Linked DNA regions of Mus musculus. The protein of the gene in region 3 interacts with the protein of the main gene of each other region in a pairwise test. Links are inferred from orthologs where the notes say so. Each region holds a gene or a part of one and is shown on either strand. Other genes may lie near its edges.

The links.
Region 1: the proteins of Trim39 (region 3) and Psma6 interact in binary tests that used the Homo sapiens proteins (3 or more experiments, as listed by UniProt). The two-hybrid records come from large-scale screens. The link is inferred for Mus musculus from reciprocal best matches to the Homo sapiens genes TRIM39 and PSMA6.
Region 2: the proteins of Trim39 (region 3) and Ccnc interact in binary tests that used the Homo sapiens proteins (3 or more experiments, as listed by UniProt). The two-hybrid records come from large-scale screens. The link is inferred for Mus musculus from reciprocal best matches to the Homo sapiens genes TRIM39 and CCNC.

What each region holds. Positions count from the first base shown.
Region 1 is NC_000078.6:55,405,191-55,408,843, reverse strand, and holds part of Psma6 (proteasome subunit alpha type-6), read right to left. Parts: intron 1,376-3,653; coding exon 1,281-1,375; intron 843-1,280; coding exon 761-842; intron 1-760. UniProt on the Homo sapiens protein: Component of the 20S core proteasome complex involved in the proteolytic degradation of most intracellular proteins. This complex plays numerous essential roles within the cell by associating with different regulatory particles.
Region 2 is NC_000070.6:21,730,660-21,734,312, reverse strand, and holds part of Ccnc (cyclin-C), read right to left. Parts: intron 2,096-3,653; coding exon 2,011-2,095; intron 1,825-2,010; coding exon 1,755-1,824; intron 1-1,754. UniProt on the Homo sapiens protein: Component of the Mediator complex, a coactivator involved in regulated gene transcription of nearly all RNA polymerase II-dependent genes.
Region 3 is NC_000083.6:36,268,606-36,272,283, forward strand, and holds the start of Trim39 (E3 ubiquitin-protein ligase TRIM39), read right to left. Parts: upstream 2,829-3,678; 5' UTR 2,732-2,828; intron 2,173-2,731; exon of another isoform or gene 462-2,172; 5' UTR 457-461; coding exon 4-456; intron 1-3.

The DNA.
Region 1 (3,653 bases), on a different chromosome or scaffold from region 3:
CCAGTAAGTCAACTAATAACTATAATCAGGCAACTAAACCACTAAGTGACCAACCAACCAAATTCATGACCATCTTAAATATCTTATTAGGGGGTGGACACAGAGCTTAGCAGGTAAAGACCTGTGCAAACATAAGAACCTAAGCTTGGATCCCTAGTAGCCATGTAAAAGCCAGGCATACACCTGTAACCCGGGACCTGTAACCCTGGGATGTGTGTGTGTGTGTGTGTGTGTGTGTGTGTGTGTGTGTGTGTGTACCTTGGAAACAGAAGATGACCCTGGAGGCTTGCTATTCAGACAGTCTAGTTGCAACAGAGATACACATAGGAGAGAGAAGTTATCTCAAAAAATAAGGAGGAAGGTGATAGTAGAAGACATCAGAAGTCAACCTCTGGCCTCCACAAGCACAGTGAGCATACTTGTACAAACACAAACTAATACTACCCTTGGACGATAGGAAAATAGCGAATCTACTAGTAACACCCCAAAACCAGGCACTAAGGGATCTTTAAAGCAGAAAAGACAGGGCTGGCAAGTAAGGGTATCTTTTAAGTCTGACAACCTGAGTCCCATTCTTAGAACTCACATGGTAGAGAAAGCCAACTTCCACAGGTTGCTGACCCACACATGCCCTGACAAAGTGCACCCCTCCCACATACACCATCAATACATGCAAAAACAAATACACAACACAAATACAAAGTGATCTGGCAGGAAGGACTGCCAGGCTGCACTCCAGGACGGCGCTGCTTGCGGTTACCTGTCATTCCTGTCATCACACAGCCAATGCTTTCCGTTATCTTGAACAAGTGAGTCACTGTGCTGGAATCCAGTAGTTTGTCCTAAAGAACAAAATAAACCACCGCCATGTCATTTTAAAGTCCACAGCCTCTGCACACTTATAAAAAACCACCAGTGTGGAACTGGAGCAATAAACTGTAAAATAGGAGTTATGAGCTATGTGTGTTCTGTTCATTTTACAGTTAAAACCAATCTTTCAAAAGGGGTAGAGGAAGATGTTTTTTCTAGATGTTTTCTGTGGATTAAAGATCCCAGAAAACAAAGGACTTAGAAATCTCATCCCACTTATTGTGACTTATTGTGACAATCTCAGCCTAAAAGGGTCCAGCTGCTCAGGGTTCCTTGAGTGATTAGTAAAAAGGCAGAGTCAGACCAAGACAAATGTTAATGTAAATTGGTAATATAACCCTGTTCAAAAATCACAGAAAATTCCTACATTTGATTTTGCAGCCATTGACTGGCTGGGCAGTATTACTTACGGGTACTTTCTTCTGTGTGACAATAACTGCACAGTCCTTTCCTCTGACAGCAACAGATGTAAGTCCACCCTGGTTAATAGCCTTAAAAGCATATTCTGGAAAAACAAAACAGGTTTTTGTTTGTTTGTTTGTTTGTTTGTTTGTTTTTTAAAAGGTGGACTAGGACCTGGGGATGTTGCTCAGTTGATAAGAGTGTTGGTTTAAGCCAGGCGTGGTGGCGCATGCCTTTAATCCCAGCGCTTGGGAGGCAGAGACAGGCAGATTTCTGAGTTCAAGGCCAGCCTGGCCTACAAAGGGAGTTCCAGGACAGTCAGGGCTATACAGAGAAACCCTGTCTCGAAACACCAAAAGAAAAAAGTGTTGGTTTAGTAAGCACAAAATACTGGATCAATCTGAGTTTGGTGACTACAATGTTAGCATTTGGTGGGCAGATAGGAGAGTCAGAATTCAAGGTCATCTTTGTACAGAGAGTTTGAGGCCAGCCTGAGATACAAGAGACCCTGTCTTTAAAAAAAATAGGAACATTTTCTTTCCATTTTTGAGCCAGGATCTCATTATGTAGCTCTGGCTGGCCTGGACCTCCTGAGTGCTGGGATTAAAAAGCATGTCTGGCTAAGGTGGGATAATTTTTTTTTCTTAAATAAATTTTTTTTATTTATTAGGTATTTTTTTCATTTACATTTCCAATACTATCCCAAAAGTCCCCCATACCCTACCCCCCCCACTCCCCTACCCACCCACTCCCACTTCTTGGCCCTGGCGTTCCCCTGTACTAAGGCATATAAAGTTTGTAAGACCAATGGGCCTCTCTTTCCAATGATGGCCGACTAGGCCATCTTCTGATTCATATGCAGCTAGAGAAACGAGCTGGAGGGGTGGTTGGTTAGTTCATATTGTTGTTCCACCTATAGGGTTGGGTACTATAGCTCCTTGGGTACTTTCTCTAGCTCCTCCATTGGGGGCCCTGTGTTCCATCCAATAGATGACTGTGAACATCCACTTCTGTATTTTTATCATAGCTCTTACATGGAAACTAATAAACCATCATTAAAAGAATCAGGTTAAGCTATAGGAATGTAGAATGCCAACCAAGAGAAGTAAAGTCAAAATAATAAAAATGTCAATCAACCAGTGTAACCAGCTTCATTTCTTCCAGTTTTATTTTACTGAATTTTCATTAGGTTCAAGTGCCAAATTTTGAAATGAATTCTACTCTAAGTTTATCACAGCAGATCTTAATATGTCTTATCATTTTCAAAGCTGTTCTATGGGCACAGTGTCATCACGCCTGCTTTCCCTAGGTCAAAACTGGTGCTCTAAAGATTTAGTGCTTCTGCTGATTTTTGGTCAATAACTTACTACATGCAGTTTTAATATTTGGTATTAGATTTCATATTAATATTGTCTACCAGTTGACGTTTAATCCTAGCATGGTCCTGGCCAGCCAGGGTTACATGATGAGATCTTATCTCAAGAATGGAAAGAAAATGTTGCAATTTTTGTAACTTACAATTAACATAGGGCTTTTCAGTTTATTACAAACTTCAGAATGTGTACTTGTAACTACTTACTCTCAATGCACTCTCTGGTTTGAAAGACTGGTGTCAAGATGGGAGCAAATACAAACTACTCTGGTATCCCACAGTTTACTTAGTAAGGACCATCTTTGATGAGATGAGATCAGAAATATGGCTATCATTTTCTGTGTTAATACAGAAGATAATTTTTGTTTTCCTTTTTTGAAACAGGGTTTCTCTGTGTAGCTCTGGTTGTCCTGGCACTAGTTCTACAGATCAAGCTAGCCTAGAATTCACAGATATCTGCTTTCCTCTGCCTCCAAAGTGCTGGGATTAAGGTATGTGCCACCATCAGCCAGCTCAGAAATTTTTTCTTAAAATTACTTATAATTCCAATTATGACCTAAATTTTTCTACATAGTAGACAATCTCAAAACTTAACTTTAAGTGATACTCTGGACACTGGTTCTAAGGACTAGCCAGAGGCTTTATAAATGACCAGGATAAGAAACACATGCATTCAATGTTCCTCCATGGCTTCTGTTTCAGTCCCTGAGTCCAGGTTCCTTGTTTGAGATCCTACACTGACTTCTCACAGTGATGCACTGTGATCATGAAATGAAAACCATATAGACTTTTCCCTCCCCAAGTTGTTTCTGGTCATAGTGGTTTGCCAAAGCAATGGAAACCTAGCTAGGGTACCTACTGACTTGAGTTCAATCCCCAGAACTGATATCAGAATGCAGAAGGAAAGAACCAACTCCACAGAGCTGTCCTCTCAACCCGGTGCATTGTAGCACAAATACTCACAAAGAAGTAGTAGTAGTAGTTGTAGTAGTAATAATAATAATAATGG
Region 2 (3,653 bases), on a different chromosome or scaffold from region 3:
AATATACCTCACCTACAAGACCTCTTTATTCAAAAAGACATTCTACGTACATCTGGTCCTAAGGACTGAAACCAGCCCTCATGGGAACTAGGTAAACACTCTGTAACTGACTTCTGTAATGAGATTTATTCAAACTTTATCTCAAGAAACCATGGACAGAGTTAAATTAGGTTCCTAGAAAAGGTTTTAGTATTTCTAATATAGTCAATTCTGCTTACTTAGGAGATAATAAAGATGCCATGGAGGCTTCTAAAATAAAAATGAACACAAGAGAAATAGAATCTTCCTGGTTAAACTCGTATTCAGTTCACAGGGACAGAATTATTCTAAAGACATCACCTAAGGACAGAAACAATAGACTAGGGAGTGTGTGGATTAGTTAAGAAAAAAAGCCAGTTCTCAGAATCTGATATTATTTGGGTTTTAGCTGAAAGTTAAACTTTCTTAATAATAATGAAAACAGTCAGTTGAGCAGAAATGCAGTTTCTGGTCAAGTCCTCCTCTGACATCTTTCTCACCTACTGTTTCTGTTCCCACCGTCCACACCTTTCCTGGCTAGAGTCTACAAAGTCTCTCTTCTTTCTCTCCCCAGTGGCTTGTTACCAATGAAGACAGGTTAAACACAGAGCATCACAAGGGGGAGGGGCAGACATCCTCAGGCCCAAACAATCTTTTTTTTTTTTTTTTGGTTCTTGTTTCAAGACAGGGTCTTACTACATTGCTCTGGCTATCTTGGAACTCAGAATTCACTATGTAGTTCAAGCTGGCCTTGAACACAAAGATATCTACCTGCCTCTGCCTCCCCGGTGCTGGGATTAAAGGCACGTGCCACCACACTCAGCCAGTCTTTTAAAGATAGCGAAGCAATTAAGCTGCAGATGAAGATCTAGACAATCAGGACTCACTGACCTGGCAATATGAACACGGGTCTCTCTATGCCTTTGTTTCCTCACTTATAAAATGAGGGTTTCAAGTGTTACAGTTCTGAGGGGAAAGGTTTACTCTACGAAAGTACTGCAGTTCTGAGGGGAAAGTTTCCTTATAGAAGTGTTACAGCTCGGAGGGGAATGGTTTCCCTTGTGTGACATCTCTGAAGGAAAGACATTCTTCTAGTCAGGAGCCAAGGAACACCACAAAGTCACACTGCACAACAAACGTCACAAGATTTATTGGGAAGGACAAGAGAAGGTGTTTGCAACTCTGCTTGAGCAAGAAGGAGAAGGGGAAGCAGAAGCAACAGGAATCTGAGAAGGCAGGATGTATTAGAGGGGTGGGGCCGGGACTGCTCTCCAGGGCAGCATGGGATTGATGTGATCTTGGGGCAAGCTCAGGGACTGACAGGATTCTTTTTCTTGGCCTTGCTTTCTTGCTTGGGCTCAAGTCAAGGTCAGGGTGTTCTTTCCCTGGCCCTGGTCTCAGAATCCAGCGTGTTTTTTCTTTGGCCCTTTTACCCAAAATGGATTCTACTACTGTATACTCCAGTTATAGGATTGAATTAGAACTTGTAAAGGGCCTCATTAAATCATCTGATATGTAGTGACATAGTTATTAAAAAAATATTTGCAAGATGTGTTTTCATCAGTTCAGATAAACTACCACTTATGATTATTCATACAAAGGCATACACACACACACACACACACACACACACACACACACATATATATATATATATATATATATATATATACACACACACACAAAGATTAACCAGACAGTGATACTTGGATGAAGAACAGAAAATTGTTTTATACCTCTACTTTGGATGCCAGAAACACACATGTAGGCGCCATTAATACAGGATCTATACTTTTCAGAGAATACCTAAAAATACAATTAGACAAGAGTTAAATGATGTGATGACTCTTTAGAAAACACACTGGGGGTGGGGGTGGGGATGGGGAATCATAATTCTACACTAAACAAGTGATTTACTTATATATTGTACATGAAAATTAGAAAAGAATTTCAACCAGGCATTAAAAAAATAAATGAATAAAACAACCATACCTAGCATAGAATCTCTTGAAATAGACTGTAGCAGTAGCAATAACTTGTTGTCTTAATTTAAGATGTTCACCTAATGCTTGGATAACTAAAAAAGAATAAAGTTTAAATGTATCATCTGTCATCAGTATAATAACACTACTACCATTAACTTGTATCAGTGATTTCTACATGATGCAATCATGACCATTCATACCTAGGCACACTTTGACACTTTCTGAACCTCACTAGTCTAAGACTTGCAAATGCAGTAATATTCATAAACAAGAAAAGAAACTGCGTACAATTTATCCTTACAACAAGCAGGATGAATATCAAATATTCTTTTTTTACTAGGTACTTTAATGCTTTTCATAGTATCTATAAAAATAGCTTTAAAAATTAAGATAGATTTTGTTATTTACCAAGAAATTCATAGTTAATCTTTGATATAAGGAAAAAGGTAGGTTTGCAGAGAGTAACATGGTGAAGATCAGATGGCAGGATGGGAGCGATAGTAAGACCTGGGTTCCACTCCCAACACCCACAAGGTGGCTCATATCCATCTGTAACTCCAGTCCCAGGGGAGCCACACCTCCTCAGCATTAGGCACAGCATATAATGCACAGATACAGGCCAAATACTCATACATATAAAAAAATAAATACAATTAAACAAACAAAATAGGCAACAAAGCTATCCCAGACACAGAAAAGGTCTCTTGACTAAGTCATCATCTTTTTTTTTTTTTTTTTTTTGGTTGTATTTTCCTGTAATTCTTTTTTTTTTTCCATTTTTTATTAGGTATTTAGCTCATTTACATTTCCAATGCTATACCAAAAGTCCCCCATATCCACCCACCCCCACTCCCCTGCCCACCCACTCCCCCTTTTTGGCCCTGGTGTTCCCCTGTACTGGGGCATATAAAGTTTGCAAGTCCAATGGGCCTCTCTTTCCAGTGATGGCCGACTAGGCCATCTTTTGATATATATGCAGCTAGAGTCAAGAGCTCCGGGGTACTGGTTAGTTCATAATGTTGTTCCACCTATAGGGTTGCAGATCCCTTTAGCTCCTTGGCTACTTTCTCTAGCTCCTCCATTGGGAGCCCTATGATCCATCCATTAGCTGACTGTGAGCATCCACTTCTGTGTTTGCTAGGCCCCGGCATAGTCTCACAAGAGACAGCTACATCTGGGTCCTTTCAATAAAATCTTGCTAGTGTATGCAATGGTGTCAGCGTTTGGATGCTGATTATGGGGTGGATCCCTGGATATGGCAGTCTCTACGAGGTCCATCCTTTCATCTCAGCTCCAAACTTTGTCTCTGTAACTCCTTCCATGGGTGTTTTGTTCCCAAGTCATCATCTTTTGTTTGGATTTTTCGAGACAGGGTTTCTCTGTGTAGCCCTGGCTGTCCTGGAACTCACTTTGTAGACCAGGCTGGCCTCGAACTCAGGAATCCACCTGCCTCTGCCTCCTGTGTGCTGGGATCAAAGGTGTGCGCCACTACCGCCTGGCGACTAAATCTTCTTGCTTATGCAAAGTTATAAGGTAAAATGAGAACTACTGGATGCTAATTTAAATAATCATTTATTCTTAAAGTATTTTGCTTAGGCCAACCTTAAAAATGGACCTCACTAGAAATGCCTGAGATTAGTCAACACTGGG
Region 3 (3,678 bases):
TACCTTGTATTCCTGTGTAGCATCATCCATCGGCACGACGGTGTGGGGCCGGTGGGTATGAGAAATTGCACATATCAGACAGACAGCCTCCTGGTCTTCATAGCAGAAAAGGCTAAGAGGTTCGTGGTGCTGGGAGCAGAGGCTTTCATCTCTGATCTTCCGCTTGACCGTCTGGAGCTGCTTGGCGATTTCCACCATACTGCCTAGCTGTCGGTTAGGCCGGAGACTCCGGTATCGGGATGTCTTCCGACAGACAGGGCAAGGGAAGTCCCGCTCTAGGTCTTCCCACCAGCGGGTAATGCACGCTTTGCAGAAGTTGTGCCCACATTCAATAATAACTGGCTCCTTCAGATACTCTAGGCATACAGAACAGCTTGCTTCCACCTGCAGGTTCTCCAGAGCAGCGGCTGTGGAGGCTGCAGAGGTTCCAGCCTCTAACAGACTTGTCTCTGCCATTATAACTTGGAGGCAGGGAGAGAGGAAAGAAGTGTTAGTTGGAGGGTTATTTTGTTTCCTGACATTAGCTCCCAGTAAGCCATAGGTCTAGATGAAGCCCCATCTTGGTATTCTCCCATTTCCACCTTTTCATCTGTTGGTCTATTTACAGTGTGTGTGACCTCTCCCCATCACTGTTATTATTATTTTATTATTATTTTGAGTCAGCAAATATCAGCAGTGCCCAGAATTTCTTTACCTCTGCTTTTTCAATACCAGCAATGAAAAGGAGCCTGATATGGCGACTGAAACCCATTTCCCTAGCCATTTTTGAGGTCAAGGTAGGGGGACTGTCATTAGCTGAAGGCCAACGTAGGCTACACAATGAGTTCTAGGTTAGCTTGAATTACACAGATCTTATTTCTACAGGGAGGGAACCATGGGAAATGAGATATGTCACATAAGCCAAAGTATTAAGATTTTAGCTGGGCATGGTGGCTCACTGTGAGGCAGGAGGATCAATACAAGAATAAGGCTAGCCTGGGCTGTAGAGTAAGATTTGTAAAACAAATAATATATCTACATATCTATTAAAACTGACTATCAGCCCTAGAACTCATTACTACTTTAAAGAACTTCATATATAATTACTGCATCGATTTCAAAGAACCCCAAGCTACTTCTTCTAACGTCATAGGAAGTTTATTGTTTTAGAGTCTAGCCTTGATTGTCTGCTGTTCCTCTTAATGAGTTACACTACAGTAACACACTGTTTCAGGGAAAGCATGACATGGTTCTTCCTTTCCCCAAACTAGCCCAAAGGAAGAACGCTCTCTTCTTGAAGATGCTCCTGTCACTCACCGCATTTCTATTTGTGTGCAGCTGGGATGGCTGCAAAGCAACAAATACATATCAGCTCTAAGGAAGCACCATTGAGTGCATTGAGGGCAGCAGCTTCTTGGAGAGAGAGCTGGCAAGTACATTCTAAACATTCAGTGGTGACTGCAGTCTTTCAACGTCACTACTGATAACTAACTCCTTAGATAGTCAGTGATTAGGAAGGAAATTAGCCAGGTATGGTTAATACTAGGTAGGTAGCGCATGTACCGAGGAGGCAAAGGCAGGAGCCTCAGGAACTCGAGGCCAGCCTAAATTAAATATAACCAATAAATAGTTATTGGTCTCAATAAATGAATAAGTGTATGGAAAGAGACAACCAAAGCTCTCCATTCTTAAGATGTCAATACATAAGTAAGCTAATTTATCTGGTCCCATAACCCCCTACTTTCCTTCTGTCCCAAAAGGGGCCCCCCAAAAAGGAAGGAAATTTGATAGGTCTACCCATCGACAGAAAAGTGCCCATGTAATGAATTGGGGCAACAATGATTATTTCTGTATACTGGTGGTACAAATGGAAGGATTTTAAGTAGGAGTTGGTAACTTATCCTCTTTTAATGGAGAAAAGAATTGATCCAGATAAGTACAGTTGGATGATTTCTTTCTTCTCTGCCCATTAGAATCCAGTTTTGACTAGTGACTTAGCCTCCTCCTCCTCAATCCTACAGATAAGTGGCATCCTCACCTAAAACTGAACCATATTCACACTTGAGAGACCTGCATGTATCTAATTAGCAAATAGATGGTATGAGAGAGAAACGGGCTCAAGGATAGTGAAGAACGGAGAGGATTTGGAGCTGGGGGTGGTGTGGTGGTGGTGTAGAGGGCAGCCATAATATGGCCTTGTGCTCCTCTGGCTTGATCCTTCCTCCCACTCTCCATTACTCGATCTCAGTGTAAGTAATCGCGTCAGAGACGTCCACGTTTTGCCTTTAATCACTATTGGGTACCACCTCAGGAGCCTCTTTCAAGCACTGGCCACAACTCTGTCCCACCCGTTCTCCATCTTCTCCAGCCATATCGGGAGCATGAGGACCAGAGTGAGGGAGCATACGTCGTGCTTGGCAGGGAGGAACGGATGCGTGTCTAAGTGAGGGAGAGGTGTGACGTGAAGGTGGGATGCCCGCTGCCATGTCGCAGCCCAGACCCGCGATGACTGCGTCAGTTTCACCCGGGGAGACCAAAGGCAGCGGGACAGGGGAACGGCGGGGTAGCCAAGCAACGCCGGACGCGCTGACGTCGCCGGGGCGGCAAACGTCCTCCGGGCCCGAGGCGGGCGGAGGCAGCTGTGGTTGCGCGCCGGCCGGCTGACGTACTCGCCGGGCGTAGGGCCGCGGCGAGAGGAGCCCGCTCGCTGGAGCCGGCTGCGGGACCCTTGTGGCGGCGGCGCAGCACCTACCTTCCCGGCTCCGGGTCCCGGAGTGCCGGGCGCGGAGCCGCCGGAGCACTGCCTCCCTCCTTCCTCCTCCCCTCACCCCCGCCCCGCGGCGCGACACACAATACTCGCCGGAAGCGGAAGCCGCGCTGCGGCGATGGAAGACAGCTGCGCGGCGCCGAGCCGCCGTGCCAGGGCCTAGTCGGGCCCGCGGCGGGTGGCGGGCGGAGAGCCGGAGGCGAGGGCCTGCGCGGCTAGTTTACCGGGCGAGAGGGAACCCGCCGCTTCCCGTGGCTGAGGTGCTGGCGCCCAGGTGACCAGAGCGGTCCCCCGGAGACTGAGGGCCGCGCATGCGCGTGGCGAGACGCCGAACCCCATGGCGGGCAGCGCGCCGTGGCTGGGCTGGCAGAGCTGCGCGGTCAGCGAGCCCGCAGAGGCTCAAGCTGGTCCTCGGTGGGGCTGGGAACCGCAGAGGCCTGGGCGGCTACGGGTTGTGGGCGTTGGGCCACACTTTCCCGGTCTCCGGGTCAATTCTGGGGGAGGGTTGCTGTTTAAGGCGGCGGTGTATTACGTGGCCGACCTGAGAGTCTATGCTGGCACGTCACTTCCGACTGGCTGAGGTTTGGCAATTTAACCGGCAAGCTGTAGTAGGTGAGTTATCTTGGCTGCAGACCGAGGTGCGTCTTTTCCCCTCCTCCGGTTGGGTGATGTATTAGCCAGGGGTTCTCTAGAGCTACAGAACCTAGTGAATGTTTCTCTCTCTATAATTAATCGTGATGACTTACAGGCTAACCCAACAATGGGCAGCTGTGGATGGGAAGTCCAAGAATCTAGTAGTTGCGCAGTCCCACGTGGCTAGTTCTTTCAGCTGGTCTTCTGTAGAAGTAGGTTCCGACAGATGTGCTGGCAAGTAAGTGCAAGCCCGTGAAGAAGAGAATCTTCCTTCTTCCTATGTCCTTATGTAGACTTCC